Linked DNA regions of Stegostoma tigrinum. The protein of the gene in region 2 interacts with the protein of the main gene of each other region in a pairwise test. Links are inferred from orthologs where the notes say so. Each region holds a gene or a part of one and is shown on either strand. Other genes may lie near its edges.

Region 1 (7,671 bases), on a different chromosome or scaffold from region 2:
AAAACAGCAAAACACAGTTTCTGAGATAGTAGAAACTGCAGAGGCTGGAGAATCTGAGATAACAAGGTGTGGAGCTGGATGGACACAGCAGGCCAAGCAGCATCTTAGGAGCAGGAAGGCTGACCCAGACCCTTCTTCCTGCTCCTCTGTGATCATCCAGCTCTACACCATGTTAAAACAGCTTCAAACTGTTTCCTCACAGTGATAATGGGGACTGCAGATGCTGGAGATTCCAAGATAATAAAATGTGAGGCTGGATGAACACAGCAGGCCAAGCAGCATCTCAGGAGCACAAAAGCTGACGTTTCGGGCCTAGACCCTTCATCAGAGAGGGGGATGGGGGGAGGGAACTGGAATAAATAGGGAGAGAGGGGGAGGCGGACCGAAGATGGAGAGTGAAGAAGATAGGTGGAGAGAGTGTAGGTGGGGAGGTAGGGAGGGGATAGGTCAGTCCAGGGAAGACGGACAGGTCAAGGAGGTGGGATGAGGTTAGTAGGTAGCGGGGGGTGCGGCTTGGGGTGGGAGGAAGGGATGGGTGAGAGGAAGAACCGGTTCTTCCTCTCACCCATCCCTTCCTCCCACCCCAAGCCGCACCCCCCGCTACCTACTAACCTCATCCCACCTCCTTGACCTGTCCGTCTTCCCTGGACTGACCTATCCCCTCCCTACCTCCCCACCTACACTCTCTCCACCTATCTTCTTCACTCTCCATCTTCGGTCCGCCTCCCCCTCTCTCCCTATTTATTCCAGTTCCCTCCCCCCATCCCCCTCTCTGATGAAGGGTCTAGGCCCGAAACGTCAGCTTTTGTGCTCCTGAGATGCTGCTTGGCCTGCTGTGTTCATCCAGCCTCACATTTTATTATCTTGTTTCCTCACAGTGTTTGTTACAGAGATTCACTCCAAGGAAATTGTATCCCTATTTCAACTCTGTAGGGTTCTACATAACTGACTTCTGACTGCTTCTTTGCTATGGGGCTGTGAGGACAATTTAATGAGTCATTTCCAGACATCAACTTTTCACACATCTACAGCCAAAACTGTCTCAGTTCTGAGAACCAGTAGATTTCTGAACAAATGCTCTTAGCTTGGATGGTTCACAATCCAAACTCTTCCATCAAGATTACATGTTCTGTGAACTATCCTTTCAGGAGCAAAACTAAAACAAGCTTCCAGACGTATTGCTGGTGTCCTTCAAATGGAACTGAAAAACTTGCTTCTGACATTTTTTTTGGAAAAAGGGCTTTCTCGCCTGAACCAGGAGCAAATTCTATTTGTAAATCTGATTGTAAACCAGACAATATAAACATATTTCCGTTTAATGCAATTTGGGGATTCGATGGATGAGCAGGGATGTTTAAAGCATTGGGAATGTCGATAATCAGAGGTTTGTTACGGTCCATCATACCTGCACTGGCTCTCTGAGCACCAGGACCTAGGCCCAGTCTCCTGCTTTCCCCTTGATGTTTCTATGGAAATAACAATCCAATGCCCCTCTTGAATACCTCAAAAGAACCTGTCTCCATCACATTTTCAGGCAGTGCATTCCATAAGACCATAAGACATAGGAGTGGAAGTAAGGCCATTCAGCCCATCGAATCCACTCTGCCATTTAATCATGGCTGACGGGCATTTCAACTCCACTTCCCTACACTCTCCCCGTAGCCCTTAATTCCCTGCGAGGTCAAGAATTTATCAATCTCTGCCTTGAAGACATCCAACGTCCTTTCCTCCACTGCACTCTGCGGCAATGAATTCCACAGGCCCACCACTCTCTGGCTGAAGAAATGTCGTCTCATTTCATTTTTAAATTTACCCTCTCTAATTTTAAGGCTGTGCCCATGGGTCCTAGTCTCCCCGCCTAATGGAAACAACTTCCCAGCGTCCTTCCCTTCTAAACCATACATTATCTTGTAAGTTTCTATTAGATCTCCCCTCAACCTTCTAAACCATACATTATCTTGTAAGTTTCTATTAGATCTCCCCTTAACCTTCTAAACTCTAATGAGTACAATCCCAGGATCCTTAGCCGTTCATCATACGTTAAACCTACCATTCCAGGGACCATCCGTGTGAATCTCTGCTGGACACGCTCCAGGGCTAGTACGTCCTTCCTGAGGTGTGGGGCCCAAAATTGGACACAGTATTCTAAATGGGGTCTAATTCCGGGCCCAAACTACTTTCTTTGGTTCAATCCTGGGATGTACGGTGTTAACGGGGCCAGCATTTATGCCTAACCCTAATTATGAAGAGCCATCCACACTGCTGTGGGTCTGGAGTCACGTGTAAGCCCAGACCAGATAAGAATGCCAGACTTCCTTCCCTAAAGGGGCATTAGCGAACAAGATGGGGTTTTCTGACAATCAACAATGGTGATAGCCATCAACAGTTTCATAGTCGTCATTAACCCCCTAATTCCACATTTTTACTGAACTTGTATCCCACCATGGGGGATTCAGATCTGCCTGCCAGGGTCTCTACTTTAATAGTCTACTGATAATAGCATTTGGCCATCACCTCTCTACTTCAAATCATAGAAGGCCTATAGTGCAAAAGCAGAACATTCTGCCCAGTGAGTCCACACTGACCCTCCAGAAAGCATCCCACCCCACCCATTCCTGTTACCTTGCATTTCCACGGACTATCCACCTAGCCTGCTCACCTTTGGACTGTTGCCATTTGTACTTAATGTGGACAAATGCATTATTTCTTCACTGCAATAATTACCACTCCCTTTGCGTTTTGATGTCTTTTAGCCTTTCCTGCCCTCTAAGATATCCCTTTTCTCCTAACTCAAGCTGACCTATCCCCCTTTTCTCAACAGTGTTAAAATTAACTCATTACAATTCTAGCTTCCTTCAGTTCTGAACAGTCATAGTGGGGCTTGAAACATTAACTTTGTTTCTCTGTTCGCAGATTCTGCCTGCGTTGCATTGCCAGTGCACTGTTTTAATTTCACTCTTACTGAGTAAAAGAGCTTTTCTGATTTCACATTTACTTCTTGTGCAGAACCTCTGTAATCCATGGTGTCTGGTTCTCGACCTGTTTATGAGGGGGACCAGCTCGTACCTATCCCCTCTGTCCAGACCATTCACAATTTTGCAAAGTTCTATTAAATCTCCTCTTAGCTTTCTCCTCTCCGAGGAAAATCTCCAATCTTTCCTCATCCCTGGAATCATTTCCATAAACCCCCTTCTAATCCTCACTCCAATGCATTCTCTTTGAACAAAATTCATTCACAGAATGAGGGTGTCACTGGCCAGGGCAGCATTTATTGCCCCATCCCTAATCACCCAGAGGGCAGTCAAGAGCCAACCACATTGCTGTGGGTCTGGAGTCACATGTAGGCCAGCGTAAGGACCGCTGATTTCTTTCCCTAAAGGACATTAGTGAGCCTGATGTGTTCTTCCAACAATCGGCAATGAATTCATGGTCATTATTTTCAAGCCCTTAACTCCAGAACCAAAAACAGAAATTGCTGGAAAAGCTCAGTGGGTCTGGAGGAAGGGTCACCATCTCCTCACAGATGCTGCCAGATCTCCTCTGTGAGGAGATGGTGACCCTTCCTCCAGACCCACTGAGCTTTTCCAGCAATTTCTGTTTTTGGTTCTGATTTGCATCATCCATAGTTTTTTCGGTTTTTACTTAGTCCTTAATTTCAGACATCTTTTGAAATCTAATCTGCTGTGGCAGGATTCGAACCCGGGTCCCCAGAGCATTTCCTGGGTCTCTGGATTAACTATCCAGTGAAAATACCACCATCGCTCCCCATAATGCTTCTTTTAATGTAATGCCCAGAACTGTAACCAGTATTCCAGCTGAGGGCTGACCGGTGTTTTGTTCTAAATTCAGCGTGGCCTCCTTGTTGTTATACTCTACATAATTGTAGCTTGTCTGTTTTGTTATTAACTCATATCTCCAACCTGACACCTTTATTGACATAGATTCTCTGCTCCTGCACCTCCTTTAAGAATTTTCTTTGTGCCAAAATGCATCATTTCACACTTCTCCAACTTTCAACTCCCACCTAATCATGCACTGCAGCAACTTGTTCTTTTCACAATTTACAACGCTGCCAACTTTTGTGCTCTCCCATAAACTTTTGCATTGTCTTCTCCACACTTGTAACAGTGATAAGGACCTTAGATAACAAAGTGTGAAGCTGGATGAATACAGCAGGCCAAGCAGCATCTCACCTATCTTCTTTTCTCTCCATCTTCGGTCCGCCTCCCCCACTCTCCCTATTTAATTCAGAACCCTCTCTCCATCCCCCTTTTCTGATGAAGGATCGAGGCCCGAAAAGTCAGCTTTTGTGCTCCTGAGATGCTGCTGGGCCTGCTGTGTTCATCCAGCCTCACATTTTATTATCTTGGATTCTCCAGCATCTGCAGTTCCCATTATCAGTGATAAGGACCTTGTCTGAGTTCCTGAAGCTCTACCTCATGCCACCAGGTGGAGCGCCAGCGCAGTTGTTGCTGTGTCACCTCAGGTGGAGAAACGGCGCAGCCTCTGCAGTACCATGTCCGGCAGCCAGGTGGGGCGCCAGCGCAGCGACTGTAGTGCTGTCTCCGACCGCCAGGTGGAACGCCGGCGCTGTAACTGCAGTCCCGCCTCCGGCCGCCAGGTGGGGCGCCGGCGCTGCGCCTCAATCACTGCGGCCGGTTTGAGAGGCCGGAGTCGGTTTTCAGTTTAATCCTTTCGCGTAGGCCCAGGATTCTTTCCTATCCGTCTCCATCGGCCTGCGGATCGGTGTTAGTTCCTTTTTGCTGTGCGAATTGTGTCGGATTAAACCCCGAGAACGAGCCAAGGTCGGTATTTCTGTTGTGAAAAGTCTTTTCTTGTTTCAAATCCCGGGACTTTCGGCTGCTTTGTTCCCGGTGGCATCCGGCCGCCATTTTCTCCCCGATCTCCCTGCGAGAGAAAAATAAATCCCCCTCTCCGTATATCCACCCACTGCCCCCCCCCCCCCTCCGCCGCCTACGGGGCACCCTGCCCCTCCACCCCACCCCACCCCCGGGACACCACACCATCCCAACTCTCCCGACCCCCCCCCCCCCCGGATTACCCTCCCTCACAGGGTTACCCTCAGCCCCCTGGGACCCCCGATACCCCCCCTCCCCCTCCCCAACCCCACCCCCTCGATCTCCCCACCCTCCTCCCCTACCCCCCCCACCCCTCCCCCCTCACCTACCTTCCCCTACCCTCCCCACCTCCCCCACCCCCCCTCCCCTACCCCCCACCCCCCCACCCCTACCCCCCCACCCCTACCCCCCACCCCTACCCCCCACCCCTACCCCTCCACCCCTACCCCTCCACCCCTACCCCCTCCTCCACCCCTCCCCCTCCCCTACCGTCCCCACCCCCCCTCCTCGATCCCCCCCCACCCCCCCTCCTCGATCCCCCCCCACCCCCCCCTCCTCGATCCCCCCCACCCCCCCTCCTCGACCCCCCCCACCCCCCCTCCTCGATCCCCCCCCACCCCCCCTCCTCGATCCCCCTACCCCCCCTCCTCGATCCCCCTACCCCCCCTCCTCGATCCCCCTACCCCCCCTCCTCGATCCCCCTACCCCCCCTCCTCGATCCCCCCTCCTCGATTTCCCCCTCCCCCCTCGATCCCCCCCGTCGATCCCCCCTCCCCACCTCGATCCCCCCTCCCCCCCTCGATCCCCCCTCCCCCCCTCGATCCCCCCTCGATCCCCCCTCCCCCCCTCGATCCCCCCTCCCCCCCTCGATCCCCCCTCCCCCCTCGATCCCCCCCTCCCCCCCCTCGATCACCCCCTCCCCCCCTCGATCCCCCCTCCCCCCCTCGATCCCCCCTCCCCCCCTCGATCCCCCCTCGATCCCCCCCTCCCCCCCTCGATCCCCCCTCCCCCCCTCGATCCCCCCCTCCCCCCCTCGATCCCCCGATCCCCCCCTCGATCCCCCCCTCCCCCCCTCGATCCCCCCCTCCCCCCCTCGATCCCCCCTCCCCCCCTCGATCCCCCCCTCCCCCCCTCGATCCCCCCCTCGATCCCCCCTCCTCCCCCCCTCGATCCCCCCCTCCTCCCCCGATCCCCCCCTCCTCCCCCGATCCCCCCCTCCTCCCCCGATCCCCCCCTCGATCCCCCCTCCCCCCCCTCGATCCCCCCTCCCCCCCTCGATCCCCCCTCCCCCCCTCGATCCCCCCTCCCCCCCTCGATCCCCCCCTCGATCCCCCCTCCCCCCCTCGATCCCCCCGATCCCCCCCTCGATCCCCCCGATCCCCCCCTCGATCCCCTCCCTCGATCCCCTCCCTCGATCCCCCCCCTCGATCCCCCCCCTCCCCGATCCCCCCCTCCCCGATCCCCCCCTCCCCGATCCCCCCCTCCCCGATCCCCCCTCCCCGATCCCCCCTCCCCGATCCCCCCCTCCCCGATCCCCCCCTCCCCAATATCCCCCCCTCCCCGATCCCCCCCTCCCCGATCCCCCCCTCCCCGATCCCCCCCTCCCCGATCCCCCCCTCCCCCACCCCCCCCTCCCCCACCCCCCCCAATATCCCCCCTTCCCCGATCCCCCCCTCCCCGATCCCCCCCCTCCCCCACCCCCCCCAATATCCCCCCCCTCCCCCACCCCCCCCAATATCCCCCCCTTCCCCGATCCCCCCCAATATCCCCCCTTCCCCGATCCCCCCCCAATATCCCCCCTTCCCCGATCCCCCCCCAATATCCCCCCTTCCCCGATCCCCCCCAATATCCCCCCCTCCCCGATCCCCCCCAATATCCCCCCCTCCCCGATCCCCCCCAATATCCCCCCCTCCCCGATCCCCCCCAATATCCCCCCTCCCCGATCCCCCCCAATATCCCCCCTCCCCGATCCCCCCCCAATATCCCCCCTCCCCGATCCCCCCCCAATATCCCCCATCCCCGATCCCCCCAATATCCCCCATCCCTCCCCGATCCCCCCAATATCCTCCATCCCCCAAACCCTCCATCCCCTAACTCCCCAATCCCCTTCATCCCCTTTCCCAGGACCCCGACCACCAATGGATATCATCGCAGACACAGCTGCACCCCCTCCCCAATGCTGCCCAGTACCCCCTTGTCTCCCCATGACATTCCTTCTCTTCACAGATTCGAAACCCCCTCTCATCTCAATTATGTATGTTCCCAACACCCACACCACTGGAAATTGGATATACCAGCCATTTTGGACACTGGACATCCCCTGGTTACTGGAGCCACCAACCTACCCACTTCCATCCCCCCCGCCAAAAAAAAAGTGTGGGCAGCTCCCCTGAATGCAGGACATCAGTACCCCCCTCCCCACTGTTTGGACACTGGATATCTCCCTCCCCTCCATATCCTACCCCTTTTTGAATACTGAACCTGCCCCTGAGTGCTCTCTGGTAACCCTACGTTCCCTTGTGATGCGGTCACTCCTCTGGTTTGGATTCTGGGATTTTGTGGAGTTGTGGGGAGGGTGAGATTCCTGCGTCTGTTTTGTCCATGTTGTGTGTGATGCTGAATTTAAGAATTGTACTGATAGCCAGTCATGAAAGATTTTGTGTCCCCGTCTCTGTTCCCCTGTATTAGTGGTAGGTTAGGAAGGCAGCAAGTTATCCTGTATTGTTTGCAGCTGCAGTAATTTAGCCTGAACCTTTCAGTTGTTGTTATGTCTCTGATAATGTCTGGCTTTTATCCTGATCAGTTCACACCA
Region 2 (7,093 bases):
CGCAATTTTCCTTCCCGTCATTTATTACCTATCAAAAAAAATGACTTCAGTGCTGATTGCTGTTTTGAATAAAAATCACCTTACTAACCTGTGTTCAGTAAAGTTGATGACTTGTGTATCAGCACCAAAATATTTCAACTTCACCTGTCTATTTTCCAACAAGTCTATGACATCCTTGGGCTTTACAGCAAATGCACTAGGTTTTTTTGTTTGAGTTATAGTTTATAGTAAAATTTTCATTCAGAATTAAACTGTTCAAGAGCCTCAAGTCTATTTTGCCCTAATATTCAGCAGTTTAGCACATGCTTAAATAATTTTAAACAACCGTGGATTTTTGAGAGATGTAGGTTAAACAAACATTTGTTTAAATACCTTACCACTTTTAGTTAACTTTACAACATTAGGAAAAAGCAACATGAAACACTGCTTAGAACATTTGATTTAAGTAACAAGTATTTTAGACATAGCCAACTTAGGTTTGAATATTCAAAGTGTATTTCCTAAAATAATCACAAAAATTAAATGTAAACTTAATTCAAACAAACAGTCATATTAAAAATAACAGATTTATTGCTGACAGCAGTTCCTCCAATGGCATAGAAAATCAGAGAGAAGCTGTCATATCAAGCAGAAAAATCCCAATTTGATACTTAATCTAGGCTGAGCTATCTGATCAGTGACAATACAAAAGCAAGAAATAGACCTCAGTGCATCTGGGATAGGAAGTGGGGAGAGAAAAATCAAGGCTCACAAATCTAATCTCTGAACTTTCAATTACTAGCAACGTACGTTGCAATGAGGACAGGACTGAGACAGGCCGAGATTCCCCTGCATCAGATAACTTGCCAAAATCTTAGACAAGCTCAAATACAAATTCTTGTTACTTAAATAAAAAGCAAATAGGAGAAAACAACAACAGACAGTGAGCAAAAACTTTTTTTTGGTGCTCAGACACATGTTTTCCTATTCAATTAAAGGATACAACTTGAGATTTTTTTTATTCCGTACCCTTGAACTAATACGGCAATGTATACTATCTCTGAAACTAATAACTGAAATTTGATAGTGTGCTCAAGTCTACATATAACCAAAAGGCTAACTTGGGATTGTCAAATTTTGCCCACACCTTGCAATTAATGCAATATTGAGATTGACAGCAACAGCACACTTGTACACAGCAAGTCCCTTCATTGGGCAGAAAATTCTTTTGCAACTACATCTGGTGCAGAGATCAGCAACTTTCAATGATTCACAAGCAAAAGCAAGTGTCAAACCAGTTTTGTTTTCATTCAAGCTTATGTTCATATATAACATGATCAATGATAGTATGTTATGAATCAAACTAGATAAACGAAAGAAAAAATTATTTCAAGGAGTGATCCACCTTTCAGACATTAAACACGCATTTACTTAAACAAAATATTTGGCAGAAAATGCTCCCAACATAAAATCCAGGGAATTGATTCCACAAAGTTGATTAAATTGCCCCACAAAACATACAACTGATTGTATAAAGTCCTTTAAAATGAAAGGCTGTGGGCATAATGTCATGAAGAGAGATACAATAATTGTTACAAAATCAAGATTTTGAAGCTGGTGTGCTTGTGTAATTTAACCTGTGCCATCAATATTAACATCACACATTCCCAAGCACCTAAAAACATTTATCCTACCAAAGTAACTACTTCACATTTCTTTCTAAGCCTGCTGCTACAAAATCCATAAAACGGCACAAGTTCTCTAGCTTGAATGCCCTTTTACAATGTACAATATGTATATTATATGCAATTTGCCAACTTATCATTCAAGCATCCAAAGAATGAAAAGTTAATACTTATGGTTTTCCAACTAACTAGCAGGTTTGCCGGATTATGCTGAGCTAGAGGATCTTAAGATAAAATAGGTATTTAACTCACCTGATTGGACTGGCTGCTTAAGTATGGCTCAAAATCATTGTCGTGCACTGTATCCTTTTGATGCAATGAACCATTTTGCACTGTAATGTAAAACATTCTTGTAAATATCCATACAAGTCAAGTCCTACAAATATTCAAAAGTTGTAATAAAACTGTGGCAAAAACAAAGAAAATTATACACGTATATAGAGAATCAAGATCTGAAAACGGAAAACAAGAGTAGTAAATATCGAACGGCAGACGCATTTCTAACATTTTCTGTTTCCAAAAGTTGCATTTTGTTAAATTTCAGATGACTGTACTCTTGTTAAACAGGGAAAGAAAGAAACTTGTGTTTATACAAACGAATAACAATAAACTCTCTTCACAATTGCTTTTCTGGACAAAAGGAGGGACGTTCAAAGGAGAAACATCTGACGTTTCCTTAGTACAAGTCATCATAAAGCGGGAGGAGGCCGATCCCACGACGAGAGGGGAAACTTGGCCTTAACTCCCAACTTTTATCGGGCATTTACGCCACATTTAGTCCTTATGTTGCCGCCGACCCCAAATCACCGAGGCATAGCCAGGACGGGGAAAGGGAAGGATAGGCGATACCTCCCGAGTGGGACGCAGCAGATAAAATAAAAGCCATTCATGGCAACTTTCCACGTTATTTAAGGCATCTGCAGCAGCCCCGGGGCCTCCAGGCCAGCACTTTACCTTTATTCTCTTGTCCTTTCGCTCTCTGATTAGGGGCCACCACCGGACGGACATAGCAACACACGGGAAGCAAATTAAATAAAAGAGAAAGAAGTGTTAAGGCACCTCGGTAAATAGTAGAACGAAGCCCGCGGCTCAGCCCCCCCTCCCCCCAGTGAAGCAGCGAGAGGAGGAGTGTGTGTTGGGGGGGGGGGGGGGTAGAACACAACAAAGACCCAGCCGCTTCCGAGCCCTACCTACCTGAGGGTCAACGCTTGTCGCAGACATTCTTCATTAATCGCCACTTGCACCAGGCTCGGATTCCGAAAGGGGCTCTCGGAGTGCGGGGTGTCGGGGGCGGGCTAAGTAGCTTAAAGGCCGCAGTTTCTACCCACCCACCCCCCTCTTCAACTTAGCTTCCTCGCTCGGCTTTCTCAGGCGTTTAACCCAATGGCGACCATACTCTGATCCGATGACGTAGTACGCATTCGGCGCAGTGACGTCGCCGGGTCCGCTCCAAATGATGACGGATGCGCGCGCACCCTCCTCCTCCTGAGTCCGGGGTGGTGAAATGTTCGGTAATCTGGTAGAGTTATCTCTCTGCCCTGTTTAGCTAGCGCCTTAGTCTCGAGTACTGCCGCATTGAAAATGGTCGCCAGAGTATTTAGCCACACGAAGTTCTGCCTCTGTTTTGATTGTGAGTTATGTGTAAAGTGGATGCTAAGATTTTAACCAGGATCGTCGGGTTGGGGAGGACCAGGAAAGGCGGATGCTGCTCTAACCCGCGGACGTTTCGCTACTTAATGTTTATTTCATTGCTGTGCGAAACTCTGAGCACGATTTCAGACTGCTGCAAATAGGTGCAACTTGAGACCGACTGGAGTTTTTTTTTTCTTGAGTCGAAATTCGTGGGATGACCGTAGCTCGACACTTCTGACCACGGCCTAATACTCGGCCTCCTCGTTTTGGAACACCTGTTCCTCGCAGCCTGTAGTGTCTTTACGCCCTCTGGTTTACGTGTTCGGAGTAATAATAGACCGGCACATCTGTTGATCATTTGTAAACTGCTTGAGTTATTTCTATGCCTTGTGTTTCCATTCCGCAACAAGTGATTAAGGGTCATCTCAGAATTTATTTTATAATTGTGCTGTTGAGCAGACAGACTTAGTATGTTTGCATTTATGTAGTACATTTAAATATCCTCAAGATATAGCAAAGTGCTTCGTTGTTAGTGAGCTGCTTTTGAACTGTGGTTTTATTCGTACCGCAAGGACGAATAGCGTCTAGTTTATGTACAAGGTCCTACAAGAAACAATGAAATGAATAATTTTATAAACGTTGTTAAGAATGCGAGATAAACCTCCTTGCCCTTGTAAAGTAATGCCATTATACTTTTCATATCGAGCTGAAAGGGCAAAATGAGTCTCAGTCTGACAATTTATTTGAAGGTAGTACTTCCTGCAACAACACTGCATTCCCTCTATTACAATGCAAGGGAACTGAAGTGGAACTCTAATCAATATGTCTGACTTGGGCAAGAATTTAGGAAGAGAACAAGTCATCTTTTTTATTGAAAACAAAGCTGTCAAAACTACGATAACAAATCATTCTTTTGTAGATGACCTTTTAATGTGCAATATTTGTATTACTTACTGAATACTGGACTGTTAGTGTACCTCATCTCCTGTGGCAATTTCACTTTGCTCAATGCAACTCTGCTAAAAAGATTCTCCTCTGTTCATCTTTTCTGATTGCAAAGATTTATTAGGATTTCATAAAACCTCCCTCAAAAAAGAAATAAGCTGTTGTAAACCAATTCATTGCAAACCCTGAAAATCTAAAATTAAAAATACCAGAAAAGCTAAGCAAATCTGACAACATCTGTGGAGAAAACAACAGAGCTACGTTTTTGAGTTGGTGAACTTTGTTCTGATGAAATGTTATCTATTAATCTGAATTAATAACTTCTTCCATCTCTAGAGACTGGCTGAGCATTTCCAGCATGTTTTTTTAATATCTCTAGTTAACCTAATTATCAGCCTCTATCTGAGATAATAAAGTGTAAAACTGGATGAACACAGCAGGCCAAGCAGCATCTCAGGAGCTCCTGAGATGCTGCTTGGCCTGCTGTGTTCGTCCAGCTTTACAGTTTATTATCTCGGATTCTCCAGAATCTGCAGTTCCCATTATCTCTGATACAATTTCAGCCTCTATCCAAACTGTGTTAATCTCCCATTCAAACCTGTTTGCTGAAATTCAAATGTGAAATAAAGCTAGACTGGGTCATTGCTGAAGGTGCCTTTTTAAACTCTTTGGAATATCTTTGTTTAAATGAAAGGCACAGCTATGGGATCAAAACAAGTAAGAATTGTTTCATTCTTGTCCCTTAAATTTCTAACAAGTTAAATCTCTAGAATGCTCCTTAACAGCCAAGTTGATCATGAGTGCAACTCCAGTTACAGTCATTTATATTGCAATATTTTCATAGCCTAATCAAAAACATGCAAAGAACAAGTAATAAAATAGATCGTAAAATTAAAGGAAATCAAAGATTTAGATATTAGTTTCCACTTTCCTGATCTTTGTTTACATACGTCCACCTTGCCCATCTCACTTTCCATCATCAGTCAAAGACCCTTCAGCCATTTAATGTTCTAAAGAATAGTTGAGTCTTAGAATATAGACAGTAGAGTTTGGATTGGCTAACATTTATCAAGAGCGGAAGATGAGAAACTGGCCAAGAGTATGTTAGAATGGTCAAGTCTAAAGGAGATAAAGGCATGGGATGGTGATTTCAACTGCATTACAATTGAAACAGTGTTGGAGTTCACAGTATTACGGAGTTGGCTTTTGTGGTGGAGCATTTATGTGGTTGAATTGACTGTTTTTGAAAATTTCAAACTGTTCAGTTCGGCCTCAAACCATTGGCAGGAAGAAAGAATCCCTGAGTACAGACTTGAGTTTTGCTAAATAGAGTGACATGTTACCAAAGCTTTTTGTATTGCACTCATCAGGGCAAACAGCACAAATTTCAAACTGTTGCAGTATACAGTACAAGAGAAAAAGCTACAAATTGACCTGATTAGTCAAGGTGTCACCAAGTAGGAAGGAATGGAGAACTGCAGGATCTCCAAACCCCTTGATAATTTAAATTGAATTTGTGGTAGGGCCCAAAGGCAGTTTTTCCAATATTTGCAACAGTGGAGAGGTAATAAATTGTTGTATTGTCGATGGACTACTAATCCGGCGACTCAGATAATGACCTGAAGACCTAGTTTGGAGTTCCAACATGGCAAATTAATTTGAATTCAAAAACAAAATCTGAGCAAAATGCCTAATGACGGCTATAAAAACCCATCAGGTTCACTAATGCCCCATACCTCATCTGGTCTACATGTGACTTCAGACCTAAAGCAATGTGGTTTCCTCTTAATATCTCTGAAATGGCCTAGTAAACTTCTCAGTTGTATTCAACTACTCCAAACTCTTTTTTAAAAAAATGACTGTGGACCGACTGCCTGGTATTGATCTAGACGTTAGAAATGACAATGGGAAATTCAGCCTTCTGACCCTGCAAAGTGTCTTTAATAGCAGCTGAGGACTAGTGTCAAAATTAGAAGAGCTCTATCTCAGATAACTCAAGCAAAGCTTGATATAGTCATTCGCACAGAATCATACTTTGCAGACAATATGGCAGTCAATGCCATCACTTCATGGCTATATCCTGTTCCTGCAAGACATTCTAGCAGAGGTAGCAGGAGAGTGGTATAGAGTTGAAGGAAGTTTCCCTGGGTGCCTGCAATATTTATTCTGAACCCCAGGGAGATTCTTAGTATCAGGTCAGACGTGGAAAAGGACACCACTTAGTGATGACCATGCACTCTTTCCCCTGAAGAATTGGTGCTTCTCCATGTTGAGTGTCACTTGGAGAAGGCAATGAGAGTAGAAAGGGTGCAGAATGTACTCTCGGTGGGAAACATCAATGTTCATCGCCAAAAGTGGCTTGGCAGCACCACATCTGCCTGAACTGGTCAAGTCCCAAAGGACAGTGCCATCTGACCTAATCTGGTTCAAGGTGGTGAAGGGACCAAAAAGTGGTAAAAAACATACTTGATGTCATCTTCACCATTTTTTCATTAATGGAATGAGGACATTGCTGGCTGGGCAGCATTTATTTCTCATCCTGAATCACCAAGGGGGCAATTTAGAGTCAACTTCATTGCTGTGGGTCTGGAGTCACATGTAGGCCAGACCAGGTAAGGGTGTTCCCTTTCCTAAAGGACATTAGTGAACCAGGTGGGTTTTCCCCCTGACAATCAGCAATGGATTCATGGTCATTAGACTCTTAATTCCAGATATTTTCTTGAACTCAAATTCCACCATCTGCCATAGTGGGATTCAAACCTAGGTCCCCAGATCAACTGTCCAGCAATAATACCACTAGGCCATTGCCTCCCCTTCATGATGCAAATCCGTTGGTCCAAGACAGTATTGGA
Region 3 (6,923 bases), on a different chromosome or scaffold from region 2:
TGCAGAGTGGACAAACAGGACTGGTCAACTTGTCCTCAACTTCATTTCAAAGTACATAAACAATTGTCAGTATTGGTTAGAGGCTTCTATTAGAATGTTGTCCATTCACAGATGTTGGTGTGTTCTCCGAGCTGGGAAGTTTGATAGCAGACATTTTGTCCCCTTATTAGGTGACATTCTCAGTGCTGTGGAGCCTTCTTCACAAAAAGTCTGCTATCAAACCTCCCAAATCAGCGAACACATCTACAACCAGCACTCAAGCTGCAAATCTTCACTCAAACCCTGAACATTGTCCATTCAACCAGCATTATAATCTATCCAGCAATCTAAGGAAGGGGATGAAGAGAGGTGATGCACCAATAGTAGAGCACCCTGAAGAAATGAATACCACACCTATCATTCAATCCTCAGTTTGAAACCTGCCATCTGAGAATGATGAAAGAGTTCTCTTGGGAGAATGGAGAAACTAGATTCAATATTAATTTCTAAAGGAAAATGAACACATACTGGAAGAATACTTTTCAGGGTTATGGTGAAAAGAACAAGAGGTGGGATTAATTCAAAATTCTGCAAGAGTTGACTTGGGCACACTTCAAAGATTCCAACAGATTCTTTGTAGATCGTGTCGTGAAAGAATCAAGTCTGTCTTTCTCTCTTATGTTATTCAGTATCAGAATGTGGCCATCCCACTATCAAGGCAACATTCATTTGCCATCCCAAGCTACTTTGCTTGACCACTTCAAAGTTAAAAGGCAGGCCTGATGGTATTGAACTGCAATCATGCAAGGACTAAACCAGGTGAGGTCAGCAGGTTTTTTTTTGAAGAACATTAAGATGAACCAATTTTAGGGCACTCTGAAAGTTCCGTGGTCACTAATAGCTTTTCAATTCCAGAATTTGTTTAGACTGAATGAAAATTCTAAACCTGCCATAGTGGGATTTGAAATTTCTCTGGAATATTACTGAAGATTTGAAGTTTGCTAATCCAATACTTTCTTGCAGGTGATATGACTACACAACTGGGGGTGTGGAATCAGGGAGCCTACCGAACTGTCCTCTCCACACTGAAGTGTCAAGACCAAACTGGCCAACAGTAATTTAACCAAATTAGATTGAAAAATAAACATTGATAACCACTTACTTTAATGTATCCATCAAATGATTTGTAGACAATGCGATCATTTACATTAGAAGCCTTCAGAGCTCGCTGCATGACCTGAACCAGCAGGTTCTTAGGCTGTGGAAACTCTTGAAGAAGGGCCTGTAAGTCTAAACAAACATTTTCGGTGAATTCAGTATGCCAGCCATCATCACCGAGTTAATGCTTGGAAAACCAATTCTTTGTCTTTTCCCCACAAGATGTCAATTTTCTGCATTGGAGATCACTGGACACCATCATTCAAGGACGATTATGTAAAGTGTGATCACAGATTTTTTTTGTAGACTTCTTCCTTTCTTCGTCATTCCACTCCAATCACAAGACAATCAATTACAATTTGACAGATCACAGTGAAGATTAGTTGGCTCAGCACAGAATGGAGAACAAAGGAAATCAAACATATGTACACAACAGATTTTCAATTCTTGCTTCTATGCACCAAACATTCAGGTCAAGAATTTAATATGGTACACAATACGCACGTCAACTGCAGCCTACCTAGCAAATGTTGAAAGTTTTACATGCATTCCTTGCTTTTATTTTCAATGCCTCAACTTATTGGCTAAAGTGCTAAACTGAACTTGTCCTGCCAACTTCACAAATTTGTACACAAACACATCCATCTCTATTCCTCATTGGCTATATGCCCTTTCCTCATTTCTTTCTACCAAAACAGAACACAGAGCATAGATCAGTACATCGCTGTACAGGTCCTTCCGGCCACGATGTTACGCTGAACTTTTATCCTAAACTTAATATCTATCTAACCTCCACCCTCACCATATACTATCATCCATATGCCTATCTAATAGCCACTTAACTGTCCCTAATGAGACTGACTCCACTACCTGCTCTGGCAATGCATTTCACACCCCTATCACTCTCCAAGTAAAGAACCTACCTCTGAATCTCCCATATCTACCTCCACTCACTTTAAAATTATGCCCCTTCGTAATAGCTACCTCCACCCTAGCAAAACGCCTCTGGCTGTCTACTCTATCTAGACCTTTGATGATTTTATACACCTCTTATCAAGTCACCTCTCATCCTTCGTCGTTCTAAAGAGAAAAGCCCTAGCACTCTCAACCGTTCCTCGTTAAGACCTTCCCTCTATTTCAGGCAACATCTTAGTAAATCTCCTCTGCAGCTTTTTCAACGCCTTCACATCTTTCCTGTAATGAGGTGACCAGAACCGGACACAATACTCCAGATGTGGCCGAACCAGGGTGCTGTACGGCTGGAGCATAACTTCATGGCCTTTGAACTCGAGTCCTCTATTAATGAAAGCTAACACACCATACACCTTCTTAACAACTCTATCCAACTAGGTGGCAGATCTCAGAGAACTGTGGTCACGAACCCCCCAAAAATGAATCACTTTAATCTCTTTTTCAGCAAACTACTGAATTTAGTTGAATATTTGTGCGCAACTGCATTTTGTTTCTATATCCCAATACTTGATGGGTAGTTTTGAGTATTTATATTTTTGTCGTTGGTCTTTCAATACACTGTGTAAGTACTTTGTAACATGCGTGTGCTTATATACACAACAAATACTGCAAGGTTGAAGTGTGTCCCCCGGAGGAGTCAGTAGCCCGCACCTTGCTGACCGCTCGCTCCAGTTGGCAGCGGCGGCTCCGACATTCCCTCCTCTCCCCGCGGCGTGACCTGCTGCTGCCGCCGACTCGTCGTGTGCCTGAACCGGCTCATGGCCGCTGTCATCCATATGGGGCCGCACTCCCACTCCGAGTGCCAAGCCAGAGGCGCCGGCGGTCCCCGGGCTCCGGTGCTGGGCTGCCTTCGCGGGCACAACCTCCTCAACAAGAAACACAGCAGCCGCGACATCCCACCTGCGTACACCGCCATCTTGGAAACACGGGCTGGTTCCTCAGGCCGGCTCCAGAACTTCGCGGAGAGACCGGAACAATGCGCAAGATGGACCGTTTACAAAAAAAAGTCAGGAACTCCGACAATGAGCCCAGCGCTGCCTCTGGCGGCAGAATCGAGTACTAGGCGATGGTTAATGCGGTAGGATTGTGAGAGCTCTTGAAAGTTCTCTACTGCTCTTAATAGGGTGGTGTGCACTCTATTTGCTGCAGTAACAATTGTTCTGTCAATGGAAGGAGTGTCAGTCGAATAAGTAGTTTGAATCCTTCCATCACTTCAAAGTACAAAAGTAATTTTGCAGAATTCTTAGAGCACGGAAGGAAACCACTCGGTTCACTGTATCCGTGAGGTCTCACCCAGTGCAATCATCTTGCCTTCTCCCTGTAATCCTGTCCGTTGCTCCTTTTCAAGTTCCCTTTTTGGAACAAGCAAGAACAGACTTTGCAGACGCTTGATGCCTTTCTAAACTAAAAACCTTTTGCCTCTACACTGTCCGTATCCCTCTGTTCTCAGCCTATTCACTGTTTTCTGAAGAAGGGTCTGGACCCGAAACGTCAGCTCTCCTCTGATACTGCTTGGCCGGCTATGTTCATCCAGCTCTCCACCTTGATATCCCACATATTTGTCAAGATGCTTCTTAAACGTTGCTACTGTATCCGCCTCCACCACCTCCTGGAACAGCACATTCCAGTCACTTATCACCATCTGTGTCAACAAAAACCTGCCTCTATCATCTCCTTTAAGCTTATTGCCTGGTACCTTAAACCTGTGCTCCCTAATAATTGACATTCCTACCCTAGGAATAAAACTCTGACCAGTCTCTCCATGCCTCACATAATTTTGTAAACTTCCAAAAGGTTGCAACTCATCCTTCGACATTCAAGTGAAAACAAATCAAGTTTGTCCAATCTCTCCTTATAGCAAATATCCTCCAAAGCAGGCAACATCCTGGAAGATTGTTTCTGTATGCTTTGCAAAGCTTCCACATCCTTCCGTCATGTAGTGAACAGAACTGACCACAATATTCCAAATGTGCCCTAACAGATTGAGGAGTGACCTTTATAGAGGCTTGTAAATTAATTGGGAATAGATAAAATGAATAGTGAAGGTCTTTTTCCTAGCAGAGGGGACTTTTAAACTACAGAGCATAAATTTAAGTTGAGAGGAGGAAGATTTAAAATGGACCTGAGGAGCAACCTTTTCACACAGACAGTGGTTCGTATACATAACCTCGTGGCTCTTAACCTCAATTCCCCTGCCAACAAAAGTAAACACGCCATATGCCTTCATTATAACCCTACAATGGTGAAGGAGACAGAGGATCAGTCAGCCCAGTTCCCAAAGAACATGACCTCATTCTTGCCTTGATTTACCTTGACTCCCAAGGCCAGTTCAAACTGGTTGCAGATTTTCATGATTCTGTGCGCAGTGGACCCAAGCAGAAAACAATGATGTAATTCATGTACAGGGCAGTTTTGACCTGTAGGCCTCTGCTGCCTGGAAAATCACCCCTCTCGCACACTTCCTGATGGAATTGGCAAAAGCTTCTATACAGCGCACAAAGAAAGCAGGAGAGAGTGGACAGCCTTTCCAGACTCCAGGTCTGATCAGGAAGCTTTCTGATTCTCACCCATTGACTGAAACTACACTACAGAGCTTGGTGCAGACCAGTTGGATCCAATTTCATATTCGCTGTCCAAAACCTGTTTTAGGGAGCATGTCCCACATGTTGGTGTGTGATGTCCTGTCAAAGGCCTTCCCCTGGTCCAGGCTGATGAGGAAGGCACCCACTGCCCTTCTTTGCACATAGGTGATCATACTTATGAGGAGCACGTGACTCCCAGAGGTGGTCCTTCCTGGTACAGCACAGGTTTGATCAGGGTGAATCACCGAACCCAGAGCAGACTTGACCCAGTTGGCAATGACCTTAGACAGGATCTTGTAATCCATATTCAATGATTGGCAATTTCTAATTTCTTCCCTGTCCCCTGTCCACTTGTCGATGAGGGTGATGATACCTTTCCTCTTAAATTCACATATTCTCCCTGCCAGAATCATACTATTGTACATCTCCACTGGGTGCTGGCCTATCAAGTCCTTCAAGCTGAATACAACTTAGCTGGTAAGCCATCCCTTCTAGGAGTTTTACTTTTTTCGAAGGACTCAAGGGCCTTGGTTAGCTCTTGAACAGTTCTAGCAGATTGGGCTGTGGCAAATGTAACATTGCTGTTTAAAGAAAAAGGCTGTATGGAGAAAATTGTATTTGACAAACAACCTGGAATTTTTTGCAGACATTAGTCTCAGAATAGGTGAAGAAGAACCAGTGTGCTGGTGTACTGGATTTTCAGAAGGCTTTCGATAAAGTCCCAAGTATGAGTTTACTGTGCAAGATCAAAGCACATTAGTTTGGTTGTAATATACTTGCATGGATTAACAGTTGATTAGCAGACAGGAAACAAAATGTACTGGTCCTGTTTAATGCCACTCCCAACATCATCCTTACAGTTCAGGGGTTTATATCCAACCACCACTAATGATTTTGCCCTTTGGTGTTTCTCAGCTCTAATGACACAGATTCTGTATCATCGAGCTACTATGCTTCCTCACTATTGCATTAATTTTCTCTTTAACCAACAATGCAACATTACTGATTTTTCCTTTTCATCTATCCTTCCTCATTACTGAACACCTCTGGATATTCACTTCCCATTCCTTGTCACACTGCAGCCATGTCTCCATAATTCTGATTAAATCATACTTGTTTTTATTCATTTGCGTGATTGATTCATTCAATTTATTGTAAATGTTCCACACATTGAAACACAAAGCATTATAATTGGCCTTTTTTATTATTACTTGTCCCATTTCCATTATTTTTAAATATGCCCCTATTTGATTGTGGCCCATGATTTCTTGCCTATCACTTTTCTTATTCCCCATTCTGTTTGTTGTCCTTGTCCTTGATTCTCCCTCCTCTGATTCCTCGCTCATGCTATTTTAGTTTAAAGCCTCCCCAACAACTCTTGCAAATAGTCCCCCAAGGACATCAGTCCCGGTCCTTGTTTTATATATTCATGATATATTCTTATAAACTATTAAGGTCACTATTTATTGCTCATCTCAAATTGCCCTTGAGAAGGTAGTGGAAAACCTAAAAACCAAAAGAATTGTGGATGCTTTAATCAGAAACAAAAACAGAAGTTGCTGGAAGAGGATTTGGCATCCTCATGCATAAATCGCAAAACACTAGCATACAATGTCAGTGTGTAATAAGGATAGTAAATGGAATGTTGGTCTTTATTTTAAACGGAATGGAGGACAAAAATCGGGAAGTCTTGTTAAAACTACGTGTGACACTATTTCAATGACACTTATAATATTACGAATAGTTTTTGTTCCCCTTACCTAAGGAATGATATATTGGCTTTGGAGTCAGTCACTAGGTCAATTGCGGGTATCTATGGATTTTCTCATGAGAAGGGTTTGAGTAGGTTTGGCTTGTACTTAGGGCTTCGAAGAATGAGGGGTGACCCTAGTGAAACATTCAAGATTTTTAGACACATGACAGTTTAGATATGGAGAGTTATTTTCACTGTCTGAGACGGAAAGGGTATAGTGGATGTAATCTCTGAAGAAGGGGTCACCCAGTTAGGACACAGATAACGAAGAATTCCTTCGCTTCCTGAGAATCTGTAGAATTCTTTCCTACAGAAAGTTGTCAAGGCTAGTTTCTTAAGTATATTCAAAGCTGAGATATGCAAAAGTTAATCAAGAAGGGAAACAAGGAGTATGCAGTAAAGGCAGGAAAGTGGAGTTGAGAATTATCAGATCAGCCATGATCTTGTTGAATGGCAGAGCAGTCTTGGTGGTTCAAATA

The links.
Region 1: the proteins of YTH domain-containing family protein 1-like (region 2) and prrc2b interact in a two-hybrid assay, tested with the Homo sapiens proteins (2 studies listed by BioGRID, with this or other methods). The link is inferred for Stegostoma tigrinum from reciprocal best matches to the Homo sapiens genes YTHDF1 and PRRC2B.
Region 3: the proteins of YTH domain-containing family protein 1-like (region 2) and dhx30 interact in a two-hybrid assay, tested with the Homo sapiens proteins (2 studies listed by BioGRID, with this or other methods). The link is inferred for Stegostoma tigrinum from reciprocal best matches to the Homo sapiens genes YTHDF1 and DHX30.

The regions. Positions count from the first base shown.
Region 1 is NC_081382.1:40,890,911-40,898,581, reverse strand, and holds the start of prrc2b (protein PRRC2B), read left to right. Parts: upstream 1-4,660; 5' UTR 4,661-4,805; intron 4,806-7,671.
Region 2 is NC_081372.1:29,717,864-29,724,956, reverse strand, and holds the start of YTH domain-containing family protein 1-like, read right to left. Parts: upstream 3,098-7,093; 5' UTR 2,886-3,097; coding exon 2,859-2,885; intron 2,644-2,858; coding exon 2,619-2,643; intron 1,997-2,618; coding exon 1,917-1,996; intron 1-1,916.
Region 3 is NC_081358.1:94,689,207-94,696,129, reverse strand, and holds the start of dhx30 (ATP-dependent RNA helicase DHX30), read right to left. Parts: upstream 3,035-6,923; 5' UTR 3,026-3,034; coding exon 2,761-3,025; intron 1,270-2,760; coding exon 1,142-1,269; intron 1-1,141.